2 linked regions of the Kluyveromyces lactis genome follow. The protein of the gene in region 1 binds, or shares a complex with, the protein of each later gene. Links are inferred from orthologs where the notes say so. Each region holds a gene or a part of one and is shown on either strand. Other genes may lie near its edges.

Region 1 (9,507 bases):
TCGGCAATTCATTTAAAAGGGAGGCATCATTATTCACCTTCCCAATCGCTTCCGAGGCTGAATTCAATTCCAAGTCAATTAAAAATAGCAGATTTCCCGTTTCATCTACTACAGGCGCTCTCCATAGAAATAGATCACCAGGTTTGATCGATTTCCCGGTGGGTGATTGTATAAAGTCCGAACCAATCAATTTCTTAAGACTAGATATGAAGTCTCCAATAAACCTTTCTTCTACTGTGAGCTCAAAGAGGGTAGTTTGAGAATCCAGTGGTTCAGCAGCGTGATACATCAATTGACGCCTATCCTTCGCACTATTTTTAGGTTTTAATAGGTATATGCCATGATCAAGTACAGTAGCCGAATACCTGTTGAATATATCAAGGGCAGGACTCAATTTGCTGCCGCTTCTATGGCATATTATGTTGTGTTCAGATAATTGACCAAGCAACGGATTGAATGAGCTAAGTTCACATAACTGTGGTAGAAACAGTCTCAATTGGTACTTGCAGGATTGTATTTCTCTAACTTCAAGATGGAAAGGCCTCGATAGTGGACGTTTAGGGCAGATGTATTGTATTTCTACCTCTCTTGGTTTATGTGTAAGATCACAAGTGCAACCATCTACCAAAGTTTCGCTAAGATACACTCTACCAGTTTTACTCTTAGCAAAGTGATAATCAATAGTTGAGTTGTAGTTAGATGAGTTCCCTAAAAGGTACGTTTCGCCAAAATAACCTTTTTGCACAACAGTCCTCGTCTCACCAGAGGATATAATATAAGTCCAGTAAGAAATAGGCACTGTATTCATTTCAATAGGGTTTGGAGCCAAGATCGCATTAACCATGTTAACTGCTTCAATGAGAGCTCCTTCAGAATTAAAAGTATCTTCTTCATGATGTTGAATCAACGACGAAGTGTTCCTTTGGTAACACAAAACATCGGACCCTTCGTAGGGGCGGAAAAGCCGTCCTTCTTGGAGCAATGTCTCATTATCTATTACACTTAGGAACTCTTGCTCATCAACGTATTTTAGCGAATAAGGCGTAGAGCTATATGGATTGAATGCTGAGACACCTGAATAAATCCATGAGATAGCAAACACCACCGACGTAACTGGTAAAAATATCATATAAGGCGGCAGATACACTAGCTACAATCAACCTCTGACGAATTGACAACAATGCGCCAACAAATAATAGCTCCGTATATCATTTTTGTACTTTCCACTAAGTAAACTTAAACGTTTGTAATATAAGAATCCAATTAATCGAATTAATCCAATTTTAAACCTTAAACTGAATAAATGTAATAATAAAAAGGATGAATCTCACAGCATAGACTGGTGTTTCCATCATATAACACAGCGGAAAACTGGTTGGATTTATCTTCAAATAATTAGCTATGCTAAAAATGATTCAATTGTTACTAATACTTCTGTTTCACTTGCGTGCGGTAGTGGCATCTCTACAAGGTACTGGTGATCTTTACTTATTGAACAATTTGAATGAAAGGTACAGCCTGGCAACTTTCGAAGCTGGTGATGAGGTAGGTATTAACCTGGCTGTGACAGCCAATCGAATTACAGACGGTGAATATAAAGTTTGTGGGACTTTTCAAGATTATTACGATGAGTGTTTCTCTTTCATCCATATAAAGCAACCATTGTCATACGAACTGGAGCTGGTGGTACTTGATGATAAACTAGTTCGTATGTCGATTCATGCAGATGATAGTATTGATGGCATCGTACCACTGATAAAGGAGGTTGGAAATGGTCCCATACCGGAAAGTATCAAGTTGAAGAAAAGAACTCTGACTTACGAGGCAAAGAAAAAAGCTCAGAGAAAGGATACAGGGACCGCTGCATTTGAAGAAGATGTTGTAGAGAACAAAACGTTTCTTCAGAAAAACTGGAAGTACGTTGTCATAGGGCTACTCGCCTATGTCTTTTTATCCAGTGGATCACAGAAATAATTTCATGTTTTACCATCTTGCTACGTATATATACGTTCAAGAAGACAAAGAAATGACCAGACGACTGACTTTTATTGCTTGGATAGGATAGGAGTGGTTGAAACATTCAATTAACTCTACGAATACGAAATGTATTACAATTAGTGACATGGATTATTTTGATGAGCAATTTGCCTTGAGTTTATTAATTGAGTGCTCGATGGAAAGACTGAAGTGAAAGATTTACCAATGTTGGCTTTTTAAAAGGATCGAAACTAAGCAACTCCATTACTCACTTCTTATCAACAATCGATCATGCTTTTCTCATTTGCACTGTAACACTGTAGTTGCTGTTACGATAATTCACTTTGCACTTGACTTTCCAGTCAATTAGACTGCCAATCAGCTTCACGATATCATGCACAGTAGTGTTTACTACCAACTCGATAGAACTGTATCCCACTTCACATCTTATTTAATTTATTTACCTGTATATCGTCATAAACAAGTAATGAATGAATTTAAAACTGTTGGGCATTCAATCGTAAACCTCACATCAAACAGTATAGAAAAAAAAGGGAATCCTTAAAAGCCAACCATATCCACATAGCTGTTAGTTTTCGCGGCAATGCAGTGGCATATCAGTGATTACATCAATCCGGTGACGGTACAGAGGTATCAGACTTTGGTTACATCTATCTTGCCAAAAGCAAAAGTATCAAACGATATATCGCTTTCAGGTTCACATTTATTGTTCTTCCATCCAGTAACAGCTGCCCTCAGCGAAGACGGATACTACTCGTACCAGACTCCTGGTGCTATATTGAAACGTGAAGTGCCCTTTCGGCGTCGCATGTGGGTTCAGGGATCAATTGAGTTCAAGAAATCACTGACAGATGGCTGGTACAATTGTCAAGAAGAACTTAAATTCATCAAAGAACTGAACAAAGACCATTTCGTAGGGTTGAAGAGAACTATACGAGACGAAAAGGGGTACCTATATGTTAAAGAGTTAAGAACGTTGATATATACTAATCAAAAAGTCTCAGATAAAGTAATAACCAAGTCCGAAGATTACAGTACCCGAGAAATCATCAATTTGGAAGATATCGATGTCATGGTTTACAGTTCGATCAGTTCGAATCCTCATAGAATACATTGGGATAGGGACTATTCGCGCAACGTAGAGGGATACCGTGATGTTATAGTACAGGGCCCGTTTTTGGTTCAATTGGTGATCAACTATTTCGAACAATGTTTTGGAAGACAAGTCTCCAGCATAAAATACAAGAATACGTCTCATGTGTATGCTGGCACAGATCTTGAAATCTGTCACAATGGACTCGGGAAGGATGGTCAAATCAGTATAATATTGAGAGATCCTAAGGATTCACATAAGGTTTACTTTGAGTGTAAGATAGCTTCATGTATACATATAGAGTAAAAGTACAATCATTGGTGGTTGAAATGAGCCTTCTTCTTTCCTGGGAAAGATGCAAGAGCGGATTCAGTACTCTGCCAATGCCGCAGTTTGTTTGCTGGTTTTTGATCAACATCTATTATCGTAGCCTTGACGCTCCTTGTATTGCGGGACCAGGTCAAGAAACAGGTCACATCTCTTAGCGTCATTAGCGTTGACAAATCATCTTTCACAAAACGCTGAGCAGCATAGAGCCTCTGTGTAATACTGTCACTTGATTGGAGATACTGCAGAATGTCATCAAGAAATTCTTCTGGCACTTGGCGTCCTGCAAACAGCGTTTCGATAATCAGCTCCGGATCATGTAAAAAACAGTACTCAATATCTCTTCCCTTCAGCGAGTTATGTGTACAATTCCTACAATAATCACTAGATTGATACAACCACTTTGGCTTGAATTCCCAAGTAATAGCATCATTCAATGAGCATCGATAGATTTGATTGAAATGGTCCAACTGTTCACATGTACTATCCTTGGCATGCAATAAAGGCATGACTATGCATTGCATATGACTATCATCGATTAAGATATTCTCATCTTTCAACACATTAATCCATTTTGTATCGACAAACACCTCTTCTAACCTCATGGAAACAACCACATCGGCCAACATAGGAAGTGACCTGATCTTGGAATCGATAAACTGGAAGTTGTCCTGCACATATGCATTGTTCCTGGAAAGTTTCTGGTGCCTTAAGCTGATACGGTACACTTCACCAGAAAGGAGATAGCAAACATTAGCATTGCCTCTACCAACGAACAATAGAGTCATACCATAGTTTCACACAAAGAACCAAGGCAAACCCAAAAAGTAGGTCATGTGTTTAATCGTGGTGCAGCATCGTTTCTTTGACTTGTCATCTCGTCACCAGATTAGAGATTTATAAAACTAAAAGGCTTTACCTTTTAGGAATTTTTCACTTCTCACCGCATGAACTTTACAACTGTAAGAACAAGACGGTATTAACTCTGATCTATAACCTGATTCACCACATTATACTTAGGCGATTGGAGCTTCATTGTTCAGAAAGAAGTGCTCTACCAACTTACCTACTAACTTACAACGAAAAGATGTCCAACATTGACGGTAAATTACCTGACATCTTAAGCGATGCTGTGTTGAAGCAATCTGTTCCAGTGCCTGATAATTTTGTTAAGGTCGAAGGTATTGATTACAGCAAACCAGAATCACGCAACATGCGTTCTAAGGATTTAATTAAATCGATGGCTACTATGGGCTTCCAGGCGTCTTCTTTGGGAAAAGCCTGCGATATTATCGATGAGATGAGATCCTGGAGAGGTGAACATCGTGACAAGTTGGAAGAACATGACCGCAAGGGTTCTTTTGACAATGATGGGTACCAAAAGACTACTATCTTTATGGGTTACACTTCGAATTTGATTTCTTCTGGCTTGCGTGAGACTTTACGTTTCTTGGTTCAGAATAAGATGGTCGATGCCATTGTTGCAACTGCAGGCGGTGTTGAAGAAGATATCATCAAGTGTTTGGCTGACACTTACCTTGGTGAGTTTTCTTTACCTGGTAAAGGGTTACGTGACCAAGGTATGAACCGTATTGGTAATTTGCTGGTTCCTAACGACAACTATTGTAAGTTTGAAGAATGGATCGTTCCAATCTTGGACAAGATGCTTGAAGAACAAGAAAACTACGTCGAATCTCAGGGTAAAGACTGTTTGGATAGCAACTTCGATCAAGACTCTCCGGTATGGACTCCTTCCAAGTTGATCCGTAGGTTAGGTAAAGAGATCAACGATGAATCCAGTGTTCTATACTGGGCTTATAAGAACGATATCCCAATCTTTTGTCCTGCTGTCACCGATGGTTCCATTGGTGATATGTTGTTTTTCCATACCTTCAAGGCATCTCCTAAACAGTTGAGACTAGATATTGTTTCTGATATTCGTAAGATTAACTCTATGTCTATGGAAGCATCACGGGCAGGTATGATTATCCTTGGTGGTGGGTTAATCAAACATCACATCGCAAACGCATGTTTGATGAGAAACGGTGCAGATTACGCTGTTTATATCAACACGGGTCAAGAATTTGACGGTTCTGATGCTGGTGCAAGACCAGATGAGGCTGTTTCCTGGGGTAAGATTAAAGCAGACGCTAAGTCCGTTAAGGTCTATGCAGATGCCACTGTCGTTTTCCCATTAGTCGTCGCTGCCACTTTTGCTAGCGAATAGAACACTTTATAAAAACAATAGATATCTGTATATATTCATAACCTCGAGTCTGAGCCAACTGCATGAGAATTCATTGTTGTCAGTGGTGTTGGATTGGGTCAACACCACTTGGTTATTAAGACATTCACTCAACCCAATTGTACCACGTGATATTCTAAATTTTTCAAGATCGATTCAACCTCGAAACCGTCTCATCTCGCTCTCTCTTTATCTTGAGTTAACGCAAAAGAACCGACAAAACAGCCTTCCGATATGGTCTTCTGGTCTGTTTTAACAGGGTCTCAAGAATCACCTGTGATCTGTTTCACTAATGTTTGCTGTCAGACGCAATTTCTTGCGGGGGCCATTGAGAGTAACGCAATGTGGGCCAAGCTTAGGTTCGGGATATAAGGTTCTTGATCTTGTACGCTGCAAAAGTACATACATACCTTCTCCAGATTCCGTTTACAAGAAGCCTAAATCAAAGGAGCAGATTGCTAGGGAGAAGCATGAAGCGGATTTGAAATCTGACAACTGGATTATTAGGTACGGGGCCATTGCAAGGTCCGAGAAGTTTTCGAAAGCTTTAACGAAATACATTCTTGCCGCATATGTGGTGTTCATTCTATATGGGTTAAACTATACCAAGAAGCTTTATAAGAAGGACAAGGAGTTAGAAGATATTAGTGCAAAGATTGATATGGGAGTAGCAAATGAATATGAGTTGTTGCGCTATAAGGAACTAAAAAATACGTTAAGAACAAGAGATGTGGAGAAATTGAAACAATACCAAAAGATTATAGAGAAAGATGGGACTGAGAATTTGGATAAGATTACCTTGGAAAACAACGATCAAAACAAGATTAACGAGAAAATTCTACCTGCTAGGGATACCACTGATTTCTATGAAATGAAGGCAGAAGAGTACGATGAGGGTGTGAGTTTTGAAGAAATGATGATCAGAATGGGTAAAAGACGTAAGTGGCTCATGAAACATTGTAAAGGAGATGTTCTCGAAGTCGCTTGTGGTACTGGTAGGAATATCAAATATTTAGACCCAACGAAGATCAACTCAATCACATTCTTGGATGCATCGGAAAAGATGATGGAAATCACAAATAAAAAATTCAGAGAAGCACTACCCAATTTCAAGAAATGTGCATTTGTTGTAGGGAAAGCGGAAGATTTGATCGACTTGAACTCGAAGGAGACACCTGTTAAGTATGATACTATTGTTGAAGCGTTTGGTCTTTGTTCACATCACGATCCTGTAAAATCTTTGAAGAATTTTGCTGAATTGTTGAAACCTGGCGGTAGAATCATTCTCTTGGAACACGGAAGAGGTTCATACGATACAATCAACAAAATTCTTGACGATAGAGCTGAGAAACGTTTAAAGACATGGGGTTGTAGATGGAACTTGGATATCGGAGAAATCCTTGACGATTCTGGATTGGATGTCGTCGAAGAAAGAAGAACACATTTCGGTACGACATGGTGTATTGTTGCCAAGCGTAAAGGTGACGGTAAGAAGAAAGAAGAAATTGGCTTCTTTGAAAAGTATCTTGGTGCTAGTGTTAAGAGCAGAATTGAATCTTTCACAAACGATGGAAAGAAGCAAGACTCGCTACAAGCTACCCATAATAAACCAACATCTGAGACATCCAAATGATGGTACTCTTATCGAAAAGATTTTATTATTTGTAAATATTATGCACTTTATTTATAAAATACTACTTCATGTAAATATTAATATTACCGATTACAACCTATGCTGCTCCCCTCATCTTCTCTGAGTTGATGACGTCTTGACCTAAGGACTCCATCGTCTCCGATTCAATTAACTGTCCCAAGTTACCATAAGCCATTGAAGCCTCATATGCGGATATTATTCTTGGCTCAGTGATACCGAGTTCGCAATGTGCTAACGCCTTAATTACGTTTGCATATCTTGTGATTGTTTGCCTAACGCTTACAGTAACAGTATCATTTTTATCCGAATATATTTCCCAAGAACTCTCTTCTTCCAATCTTGTAATGGAAACCGACATTGCATTGTTGGATCCTGGTAAATGGTCAGATTGTCCTGAACCTGTAGTAGTGGTCTTACCGGAAAGATCCATCTTGGAGGATTTCCTTATCCATACGAACCCATTTACACCCAAGATAATGGTGACATTCCCTGGAAGATTATGTGTATGATTTTTAGATCTCACTATTAGGGAACTTGGGACTTGAACAAACGTACCATTCCTTAGTTTCCCATATTTCAACGATCTGGTATGTAATGAAGCTGAACCGTCTTGGAACAACGATTGGACTTCAGCGTTTAGTAGATCACCTTCTTTCAAGAAGTTTCTCATTTGCAACTCATCTGTCTCTGACTTACGTCTCAATACACCACCTGGTAAATTAACAGAACCCAACATCAAAACCGCATACTGTTTGGCTCCAATATCCACTTTCCACCTTCTATTACCAACATCAGTGATTCTACCCACGATGTGGTCACCTGTTTCGGGAATATAACGAGATTTTAATGGTAAAACGGATAGCAATCTATTCACTCTCGATACTGTGCCAACCACAGAACTGTATGTCTTGTTTTCCAAGAAATAAGTACCATGACCCTTCATCCATATAGGATCATCGGTTATTAATTCACCAGGTGTGACAATAGACCCATCCTGATGGTCTATTCCACCATTGGAATCGTGAGCACCGCTCATCTCAATGTCATGTTCTTGCTCTGAACCTGAGCTGGAATCTGATTCATATTCATCCTGTTCTAAACGGCCATTAGACCAAAATTCGTTCCTATTGATAACACTAATAACATCACTCATTGTTCCAAGTAATGATATAACGATGTCAGGGACTGCAGAAGGCGTTCGATGTGCTGACTTCCTCGCTGTACCTTTGTTACTTTTGGTGTTAGTTAACTGAAAATTTTCCAAATTAAATAAGAGAGCGATGAGATGAGATGAGATGAGCGTTGTAAAAGATGTAAAAATGTTGCAGCAAAGATCGACCGTCAGGCAGCGTTTTATTTGGTGAAGTGATAGCACACTATTTTGCTCCATTTTTCAAGGATAGAGGAGGACTAGTTTTATGAGGTTTGGCCTAGTGCTTCGAAGAACAATGAGTAGAGCTATTGAAACTACGTTCAAATATGAACCACCAGTGCATCGTGGCATGAAACAATTAGATAAATCATTATTCGTAAAGAAGCTTCCTGTTGTTGTATTGCTATTGAAGAATCCAAAGAATATTTCTGTCTTCACCAAGAAGTTCAAGGACGATATATTAAGGACACCAAGAATTCCATTCGTTATAAGACTTGGCGAAACACCAAAAGAAGATACTGATAAGAACGATGTCGAGCCAGTACAGAAGAAAAGCAAATCCCTGGCCAATGACAACCATATAACCAAAGGTATCATACTAAAAGACAGTATACAAGATGTTTCGCAGGCGAGAGGGAAGTTGACCTCCAATGCACTAGAATTTCTTGATGAGCAAGAGTATGAGTTGAGAAACCATGAGTATGTGCTAGATTATGACTTCTGGAAAGTGGAAGAGATTCTAAATGCAATTTTACCAGAGGAGTACCTTGCTGAGATTCCTACTGGGTTCACTATTGTGGGACACGTAGCTCATTTGAATTTAAGGAAAGAGTTCAAACCGTTTGGTGAAATAATTGGACAAGTCATCTTGGACAAGAATTCGACGATCAAGACCGTGGTCGATAAAGTGGATTCCATTGCTACCAAATTCAGAACTTTCGAAATGAACGTCCTAGCGGGTGAACCGAACCTGCTAGTGACTCAAAGGGAATCTGATTGTTCATTCACTTTCGATTTCAGTAAAGTGTACTGGAACT
Region 2 (9,402 bases), on another chromosome or scaffold:
TTTCTCTCCATGGGAATGGTAATTCGTAGAAATGCAAATGCCTTTGGCGACCTAGATCGCATGCGTTATCCCAGTTATAGAACTGTATTGTTTTCTTAATTGAGTGAGGATCTTCAATGAACAAGTCGAGATGTTCGTCGAGGAAATCTAGCGTTTGGATCACTTGTTGGGTATCAATGTCGACGCATTTATCGTCGATAGTTTCCAGTTCACACATTTCACTACGGTCCAGCTTTAATTTGTTGATTGAGAACGAGGAGACGTTATGTGAATCGTAGCGAGAGTTGTCTTGACAGTTATCATCTGAACTGTTAGAGTGTGAAGACGAAAGAGCACTATGACTTATGCTATCGTCAAACCGAGGCATTTTCGATGAAGTTTGTGATGATGATCTGGTAGAATCCTTTGTCGAGGAGTGAAGAGTCGTAGAGCTAGAAGCAAACGAAGTGAAATGATCATCGTAAATCTGTGAGAATTTTAACAACGGAGAAGTGATTGAAGACCTGTTCAAACTTCTTTCGAACTCTTCAGCAATCATAGTTTCAGTGTCATTCTCAGGCAAAACAGCTGTTAACTCTTCCGTGGTACGTTTCAAAAACCTATAAAACGCTGGTGCGTCTGGATTGTTGATGAAATCTTGATATGAAACCTCTTTCTCAGCCTCGACAGGCTTGTTGTTCCATCTCAAAAATTTACGGCCTCTTTGTCTTAACTTGTTAAACCCTTGTCTGGGCAAACTTGTCGTCGTAGCGACAGAAGTTGAAGGAAGCACGGACTCCAATTTCTCTAGTTTCTGATTTGCTGATTTGATGAACCGTGCAAGTCTTGTTAGCGCGACGTATTCATCTTCGGAACTGAGACTGAACTCGTTGTCAACTCCAGTGACATTTTCCGAGGTATATTCCATAATAAAATCTTCAGACTTTGACATGATGTATCGGAGCTACCTGAATGAAAAAAAGAGCGAAACTGAGCCTGGCAATAACAGGGTGAAGGAGTTAACTAATACAAATAGAAAGGAATGTGATGGTGTTCTTGTCTCTTGTAATATATACCCAAAGACGAAGTATAATTTAGCTCAAACTAAAATGGAAAAAAAAGAAAAAGGATCTGGATTCAGTAGACGGAAATGTGTATAGTTTAACGGTGAATATCCTAGTCTTGAAAAAGGACGTTTGGTATGGTATGGAATAGTATTGAAACTTGTGATATGTCTTGCAGTAGTAGTTTCCCTTTCAAACCAGCTCATACTGCGGAATATATAAATTCATCTTGTTATATAAAGCATATGGAATTGATATCACATCAAATTTCAAATTTCGAATTAACCGAAAATTTCAAAAATCTCATTCACAGATACTACACATGTTTCCGGCCGTCTCTATTATACAATCACGGTTCACTCGGATATTCTTCGAACAAGAACACGGCATGTATTCAGTTTGTTCCATTCACCGTCTTCTCTTATTACTTAATTCATAATACGCTACTCGTAACAATAAGAACGTGTCGTACACCCATCATATTCTAGCCAGGCCAGAATATTGGTCTTTTTTCTTCTTATTCTCCTAGGACAAGAAACAAGATCTCTGGCCGATCTTTTCCGAAACAAAAATGTGGAGGGACAGATAGTATGGATGGACTCAGGGATCAGTTTGGGTGAGTTTGCAAGTGCGTGGGACACGCACTGCCATGTTACCCTCCTCCGCGTTCCCATTTTGTAGCCGGTCCAGTCCAGTTCAGTCTACTCAGCCATAAAAAGGAAATAAAAAAAGGCTTAACTAATGACCTAGAATACATGGAGAAGAACTGACATGTTATTCCTCTTTCTTTTCGTTTCCCTTTACCTTCCTTTTAGTTTCATTTCTTTTGGTCTCAATCTAGACCGGGTTCTCGAAATAATGCCTATCATGAAACTCCTATAAATTTATACTTTTTTTTTACTAAAATTCGAGAACATAGGGGACTCGAACGGGCGACCTTTTAAAAACTACTACCCGGACATGATTTAATTTTTCTGGTTTTTCCGAACTGGTTCCCCTGTCGAACTATGCCCTGCAAGAACGGAACATAACCGTCGAGGGATTCGTCTTCTGGCTTTCATTGTCTTTTCATGAGAAAACCTGGAATTATCGATTATCAACATTTTGAACTTTTCATATTTTGTTTAATTTACGTTTTTATGGATATTGAAACTATCCATTGGATATTAAAGTACTCTGGAGTAAAGGACACTCCAGTTCGCGGCATATATAGTCTTTTCTGAGTTTGTCCTTTGTTACAGCTTTACTCTCCAGGTACCTTAGGCTTGGGTGAACTGCATTTAGTGTATCACTTTTTTTTTCCCCCATTTTTCTTTGTTTTGTTTCTTGGGACCAGAGTTCCCTTTGTCGTTCCTCAATTTTTGTTAATACTACATTGTCGTTGATCTTCGCATTTTTACTTTATATTGGTATTTGCGGTTCCCAAGTTAGTTGTCAGTGGTTTAGAGTACTCAAATCTTGTTAAGATGTCACTTTCAGAGCAACTGAACGGCTGGAATACCGCTGTTTCTGACGATAAGGATAATAATACCCAGATTGATTCTGAATTAGCATCAATAGTCTCGTCGCTTTCGGCACTGTCAAATCCGAATGTACAGCAACAAGCACAGCAGCAGGTTCAACAGCAGCAAGTACAGGCGCAGCAGCAGCAACAGATTGGTGGGTTCAGAAGGGCCTCTTTCAATAGTAATACGGGAAGCGATGTGGACTCAGAGATCTTTTTCAATACACAGAATTCTCCCATGTTGAGGAGAACTACTCTGTCTGTAGGCGGGATGTCTCTGCCTGAGAACTCTTCGTCCCACGCTCAGAATAGATTGAATGCCATGAACCATTACTCTGCCAGTATCGCTGGTGGTCTGACAGCTCAATTCCAAAATAATAATAATCCGAACTTGAACAGTTACAACGGAAGCGTGACTAATTCTAATTCGATCGGTGTCAATAATAGTTCAGTTACATCTGGATTTTTCGAAAGGTTTGGTCGTGCCTTAGCTGAGGGTACTCGTGAAGTGGAATTGAATGTGGGTGTGGGTAGTGTTAACGTTGGTGGGCCTCCTTCGAGTTCGAATCACGCTGGTACTGGCTCGAGAAGAGCATCTGCAACCACAGGCTTGGAGCATTTATCGAGAGTCGGATCTAATACGACGCTGCATGGTGCAAGAAGAATGTCGGATACCTCTGAAGTGTTGGACTCCGTTAGTGAAAGTTTATCGATGCAAAATAATGAGCCTAATTCTACTACCATTTGGAACGTGGCTGCTGCACCCGTATTCAGACCTCAGAATGCCGAACACATGCAACAACAATACCACTACCAACAACAACAGCAGCAGCAGCAATCTCCACTGCATCAACGTCAGCCTCAATTCCAGCCTCAATTCTCTTACCGTCGTTCTAAGGACGGCAAAACTGCTCCTTTTCCAAGTGACCAGGACATTGATCCAAATGACCCTGCCTCGTTTGCTAATCAGCAGGCAGCTCCTTTCAACTATGGTTATCCTGGGTTTAATCAATTTGGAATGCCCATGTTTTTACCTCCTGTGCTGTCTCCACCACCACAACCATTCCCAGGTATGAATGGATCCAACGATAACAGTCAAGATGTCGAGACTACTGATGGTGTTACCAAAGAGGCTTCCGCTTCTAGAAAGAACCAACACGAGTCCGAATTATCAGAGACATCAGGTGAAACAGGTAATCATCCAACGATGATGCCACATCCAATGGCTCCTTATCCATTCCCCAGTCCATATCCTTTCATGTATGCTCCAATCAAAGAAGATGACACAGAAAATAATAAGGATAGTGAAACTGTTAAACCTCCTTTGAGCCCTACTTTCTTGCCACCAAATCCTTACATGTTCATGCCTCCATCTATGCAACCACGTCCAGGTAACTTACAAGACGCTCCAAGCTCCCCTCCATCCGCAGACAATGGTTCCGGTTCTAACAAGAGAAATAACGATTCTAAATACTCTGGCAAAAATAAATCAAATCCATACCTGCACGCAGGTAAGGCTCAATATTCACAATTCTCTCCGCCACCAAGTAGGGCAGGTATGGCAGTGCCCCCAAACACTTTGCAAAGTTCTTCAGGTTCAGGTGCAAACAAACAGGGTCGCCAAGGTAAAAATGCTCGCCAGAATAACAAACAGCCTATCGTTAGATCCCCATTATTGGAGGAATTCAGGAACAATTCTTCCAATAAAGTTTACAAACTTAGCGATATTTACGGCTCCGCTTTAGAGTTCTGTAAAGATCAACATGGTTCCAGATTTATCCAACAGGAATTGGCAACAGCTTCTGATGCTGATAAGGAAGTAATCTTCAATGAGATTAGAGACCAATGTATACCATTATCTCATGACGTGTTCGGTAACTATGTCATTCAAAAATTCTTTGAACATGGTACAAAAACACAAAGGGAGGTATTAGTGGATCAATTCAGAGGCAAAATGGAGAACTTGTCGTTAGAAATGTATGCTTGCCGTGTTATACAAAAGGCATTTGAATTCCTAAATGAAGATCAAAAGGTTGATCTCGTATCTGAACTTTCCCATTGTGTTTTAGCTATGATCAAAGACCAGAATGGTAACCATGTTATACAAAAAGCCATCGAGTGTATTCCGATTGAAAAATTACCATTTATTCTCCAAAGTTTAAGAGGACAAATCTATCATTTATCAACGCATTCTTACGGTTGCCGTGTAGTTCAAAGACTATTGGAATTTGGAACTCTAAAGGACCAAGATGATATTTTGAATGACTTGGATGAATTCATCCCATTCTTGATCCAGGATCAATACGGTAACTACGTAATTCAGCATATTTTACAGCATGGAACTGAAGATACGAGCAGTCACATAGGAATGAGTAAACAAAATATCATCGATATCATTCGTAAGAATGTTGTTGAATATTCAAAACACAAATTTGCCTCCAATGTTGTTGAAAAGTCAGTAGTTTACGGATCCAAAAACCAGATAAGACAGATTTTGGATCAAATTCTACCAAGAGACGAAGAGCACGCCGCTGATTTGGAAGATAATGCACCATTGATTCTAATGATGCGGGATCAATACGCGAACTACGTTGTTCAAAAGCTCGTGGGTGTCGCAACTGGTGAAGATGAGAGGTTGATTGTTATTTCCATCAGATCCTATTTGGATAAATCCAATAAAAATAACACTTTGGGTAACAGGCATTTGGCTAGTGTTGAAAAGTTAGCAACTTTGGTGGAAAAAATTCAGATATAGATGTATGTCAGCCTCAACTTGGGAAAGCAAGACAAAAAAAATTGTTCTGCCTCGAATATTTGCATTTGATAACCACGCTTTCTTTCCCTAATAACTGGTTCACTTTCTAAATCATTCTATTGATGAAGATTGCCATTTCTTACGTTTTGTATCCCCGTGATATCTCTCACGAAGATCTTAATATCTTCTAAAATCTGTTGTTGAGAACAGATTACTACCTAATAAATTAATATCCTTTAAATGTACATATTGTTTATCATCATCCTGTTTATAATACATGCAAATATTTATCTCTGCTATAAGTTTTAATGACCATAATATTATAGTACTTCTAGAATCCTAATGGTGATATCGTTCAGATGAAATCAACCCGTTAATGCAAAATGTGTCATATGCGTTACCTGACCAAAGTGAACGCTAACGTCCAAGTCATGACAAACCCAGCTAGCTCGCGGAATAGATTTTTAACCCATATTTTATGCACTGGATTAGTAAAATATAGACTAGGCTTGAATTTGCAAAACCACGCTATAAATATGAGGTTCACCAGGATATAAACAGCAAAAAACATTCCAAAACCTGCAAAAGATTGAAGTTGCAATATCCCAGCACTAAGTCCTGCTGTCAGCATTGTAGAATCCTGTATCCGTAGTAGTTTGTTGTTGTTGAAACTTCCACTTTTGGAAGACTTTAGGTCGGTGAAGCGATAACTCATTTTCCAATGCTGTTATCTCGTAGTTATGATTGCAATTGGTTGCAATAAGCCAAGACTAGAATAAAAGTGATTTATTATGATAAATGCAGCACTTAAGGATCAATCGAATCGCAGATTGAAAAGCTCTGTTTCTAACGGTGGTTCTATTCATTTAATTGAAGATGGAGATCTGTTATTGTCGGTTTGATGCTGATGTAATTGTTACCCGCCTTAAAGAGTCGAACCTTTTCTTTCACGAAACTTGAGAAACGTTTGACAAACTCATCGCAGCTCATCGCATCAACCATATCTACGTTGGCAGTTGGTGTAACTAGGTATTGTTCACCAGCTAATCAACTATAACTTTCATTGTTCAATAAAACATCTTTGTTCGAAATATCTGCGTTTACTTGATACGATAAAGAGGGAAGATGTCCACGGAATTAGAAGAATTAGTGTCATTTTTGCATTCAGACCAGCCTGCCGTCAGACAGATTGCTCTTGATAATCTGGTTGGCTTCTCAACTGGAGCAAGTGCTGTCATTTTCAAATGTAATAATTACAAAGCTATAGAGGATCTAAAAGTTCTAGCTAAAGATAAGTCAAAAGTTATCGTTCAACAATCCACTACGATTTTAGCGAATTTATGTGATGATGTTACTATGAGAAAGTTGATCGTCAAGGATACTGAATTCCTACAGTACTTATCGTGGAAAATCTGTGATTTAGCTAACGCAAGTGCGGATATCATGTGTATTTTATTGTCTAATCTCGCCAAGGAAGACAATATTACCGAATTGTTTTCGTTTGTTAAGAAGGAAGACGATGGTATTCCATTAAACATAGAAGTCTTTAAAAGCAACAAAGTAATGGATTGCTTAATGGATTGTTTTGTGAAGGGTTACGATAGAAAGTTGAACAGATATGCCACTTATGACTACTTAGCTTATTTCTTTGCCGACATTTCGAGATTTAAGATTGGTAGAGAGTATTTCATTGAACAGCAGGAGTATGACGGCGTCATCCCAATTTCTAAACTATTGGTATTCACTGAAAAGTATGATGCTAAAACCAGAAGAGAAGGTGTGGCTTATACCATCAAGAATTCGTTATTTGATTCCGAAAAGCATGAAAACCTTTTGACTAATGAGGAAATCAATCTTTTACCTTATATTCTTCTACCGATTGCATCAGCTAAAGACTCCGAAATTGATGAAGAAGATATGTTCAATCTACCGGATGAATTGCAACTCTTACCTGCCGACAAAGAGAGAGATCCTATTCCTGAAATCATATGTGTGCATTTAGAAAGTATTTTATTGCTTTGTACCACTAAAGCCGGCAGAGAATACTTAAGATCGAAATCAGTATACCCATTGGTCAGAGAGTTACATAAAAATATTGGAAATGACGATATCGGTGAATTATCTCATAGAATTGTTAACATGTTGATGAGAGGTGAGCCGGAGAATCAAGTGATAGAAGAAATCGTGGCCAAATCTGCGGAAGATGGCGAAATAGCCGAGATAGAAGAAGAAGAAGAAGAAGAAGAGTCCGACGATGATGACGATGCTATCGTCGAAGTTTTATAAATGATAACTTCCTATAGATATCTTGTTTTCAAATAACATATATTTATTTTAAGCGTACTTATTGTTAATAAACTGACTATATCAATATGCTATTTCCTGCCCCTTCCAATTGGACCCAGGTGATATATATCAATTATCACTACATGTATATCTCCAGAGGTTTGAAAACGAGGAAATTATGTTAACTACTTACTCAATTCGAGGAATTTACCGTTCAGTTTAACAAGTTTCTTGACAAAAACCTTCATTCTTTCTTTATTGTCAGGATGTCTACCGACCTTTTCTTTCAATTGTCTGATTAATTGTTTCAAAGTCAACTGCTTGCCCTCAATTGCATTGATTATATCGTCTTCCGTTAACAAATCATCTGCCGAGTGATCAGACTTTGCCCTCTTATTGTCCATAGATTCTTGTGGCTGAGACTCTGCTGGACGTTTCTTCAAGTTTGGATTCCAGGCTCCTGCAGGGAAGTTCGATAATACTGATTTCTCACCAGTTAGTACAACGATATTTTGATTAATGCTTTTTACTACTAATTTTGGTGGACCTGATGGTGTGTCAGAAGCTTTCTTCTTTGGTGAGGATCTCCGACTTTGCTTTTCATTATCCTTCTCGGAATCTTTCTTATCCGAATCAGCTTGCTCTTCATCTTCCTCAGAGTGTGATAGATATGGGTTCTCTTCTGCATCAGATTCATATAAAGCACCCAGATCTGTTTTAAGGAGGGCTTTCTTGACTTTTTCACCTTCTTCGTCAATTTTTTTCTCTCCAAATAGTTCGTCATCTGACTCTTCCCCATCATCGTCACGTAATCCCAAAGCATTAGCTTGTAACATTTCTTTCTTGATCCTTTGTTCCGATTCCTTATTCTCTTCTTCATTACCGTCTATGATTGGTGCTTCTTCATCATCCGCAAATTCTTCATCGTAATCCAATTCGACCTCTGAGTTATCTCCACGGTCCTCATCATCTTCGGCCTGTCTTGTGTTCCCATCGACAGCTCTAAGTCTTCTTAAGGTTCTATCATATCTTGTGGTTGTTTTACTGGACTCGTCCAAATGCTTCATAAACCAACGAGGAGCACCTTCTTTGTTCTTCTCCATCCTTTTCTCGGCTTCTTCAATGGTCAATGTGTTATATTTATTTCTTGCAGTGAAACGGTAGACTTTATCCGCAGGAATCATAGTAAAGCTCCCGTCGTCTTCAACACTTAAAAGGACATATGAGTCTGAGTTACCTGCTTCGTATGAACCTACCCAGGTGTTAAAACCATCAAAATCTTCCATGACCCATGGATAAAATTCTTCGAATCTTAACCTTTTCGCTTCTTCATCTAATCTCTTCAACTGTCTTGTCTTTCTTTTAGAATTACCCCTTCTAAAACGACCACCTCCATGTGGTGCAACATCAGCCATAGGGTCTATAGTACCTTCTTCGTGTATCTCAGGTTCAGCCTTACCATCATATTTAACCATACCGACCTTAGTTGGGTCTTCTGCCACTCCAGCCTCTTCAAGGATAGTGACGGTATTGCTGGGAGTTCCTTCTTTCCCATTTGGAGGAGAGCCGGAATCTGTGCCAGTTTTCAGCTCTGAACTTGATGAACCGTTATTATTCACGTTAGGACCATCTGTATTATTATAATTAGTTACTCCCACTTTTGGACCATTCAACGTACCTGGAACTGGCGTTCCTTGTTTGCTATTATATGGTTTCCCGTTAGATTGAGAGAAACTTCCACCAGTACTGTTACCTTTAGATGCTGTCGGCGTTGAGTTGCTACCGCCAGTACCCGGTCCTGCACCTCCTGCTTC

Evidence for each region. Proteins that work in one complex are often made in the same cells at the same time.
Region 2: EMC10 (region 1) and EMC6 share a complex: the UniProt entries of both Saccharomyces cerevisiae proteins name them as parts of the ER membrane protein complex. The link is inferred for Kluyveromyces lactis from reciprocal best matches to the Saccharomyces cerevisiae genes EMC10 and EMC6.

Annotation. Positions count from the first base shown.
Region 1 is NC_006041.1:1,122,992-1,132,498, forward strand, and holds EMC10 (Emc10p), read left to right. Parts: upstream 1-1,401; coding exon 1,402-1,974; downstream 1,975-9,507. Other genes in the region: YOS9 (Yos9p), read right to left, coding at 1-1,129; hydroxyacyl-thioester dehydratase HTD2, read left to right, coding at 2,582-3,397; IPK1 (inositol pentakisphosphate 2-kinase), read right to left, coding at 3,406-4,206; DYS1 (deoxyhypusine synthase), read left to right, coding at 4,506-5,645; OMS1 (putative RNA methyltransferase), read left to right, coding at 5,956-7,296; exosome non-catalytic core subunit RRP4, read right to left, coding at 7,394-8,707; TRM5 (tRNA (guanine) methyltransferase), read left to right, coding at 8,736-9,507. UniProt on the Saccharomyces cerevisiae protein: Part of the endoplasmic reticulum membrane protein complex (EMC) that enables the energy-independent insertion into endoplasmic reticulum membranes of newly synthesized membrane proteins.
Region 2 is NC_006042.1:1,425,023-1,434,424, reverse strand, and holds EMC6 (Emc6p), read right to left. Parts: upstream 6,018-9,402; coding exon 5,700-6,017; downstream 1-5,699. Other genes in the region: IZH3 (Izh3p), read right to left, coding at 1-931; mRNA-binding protein PUF3, read left to right, coding at 2,510-5,302; HGH1 (Hgh1p), read left to right, coding at 6,428-7,588; transcription factor IIF subunit TFG1, read right to left, coding at 7,774-9,402. UniProt on the Saccharomyces cerevisiae protein: Part of the endoplasmic reticulum membrane protein complex (EMC) that enables the energy-independent insertion into endoplasmic reticulum membranes of newly synthesized membrane proteins.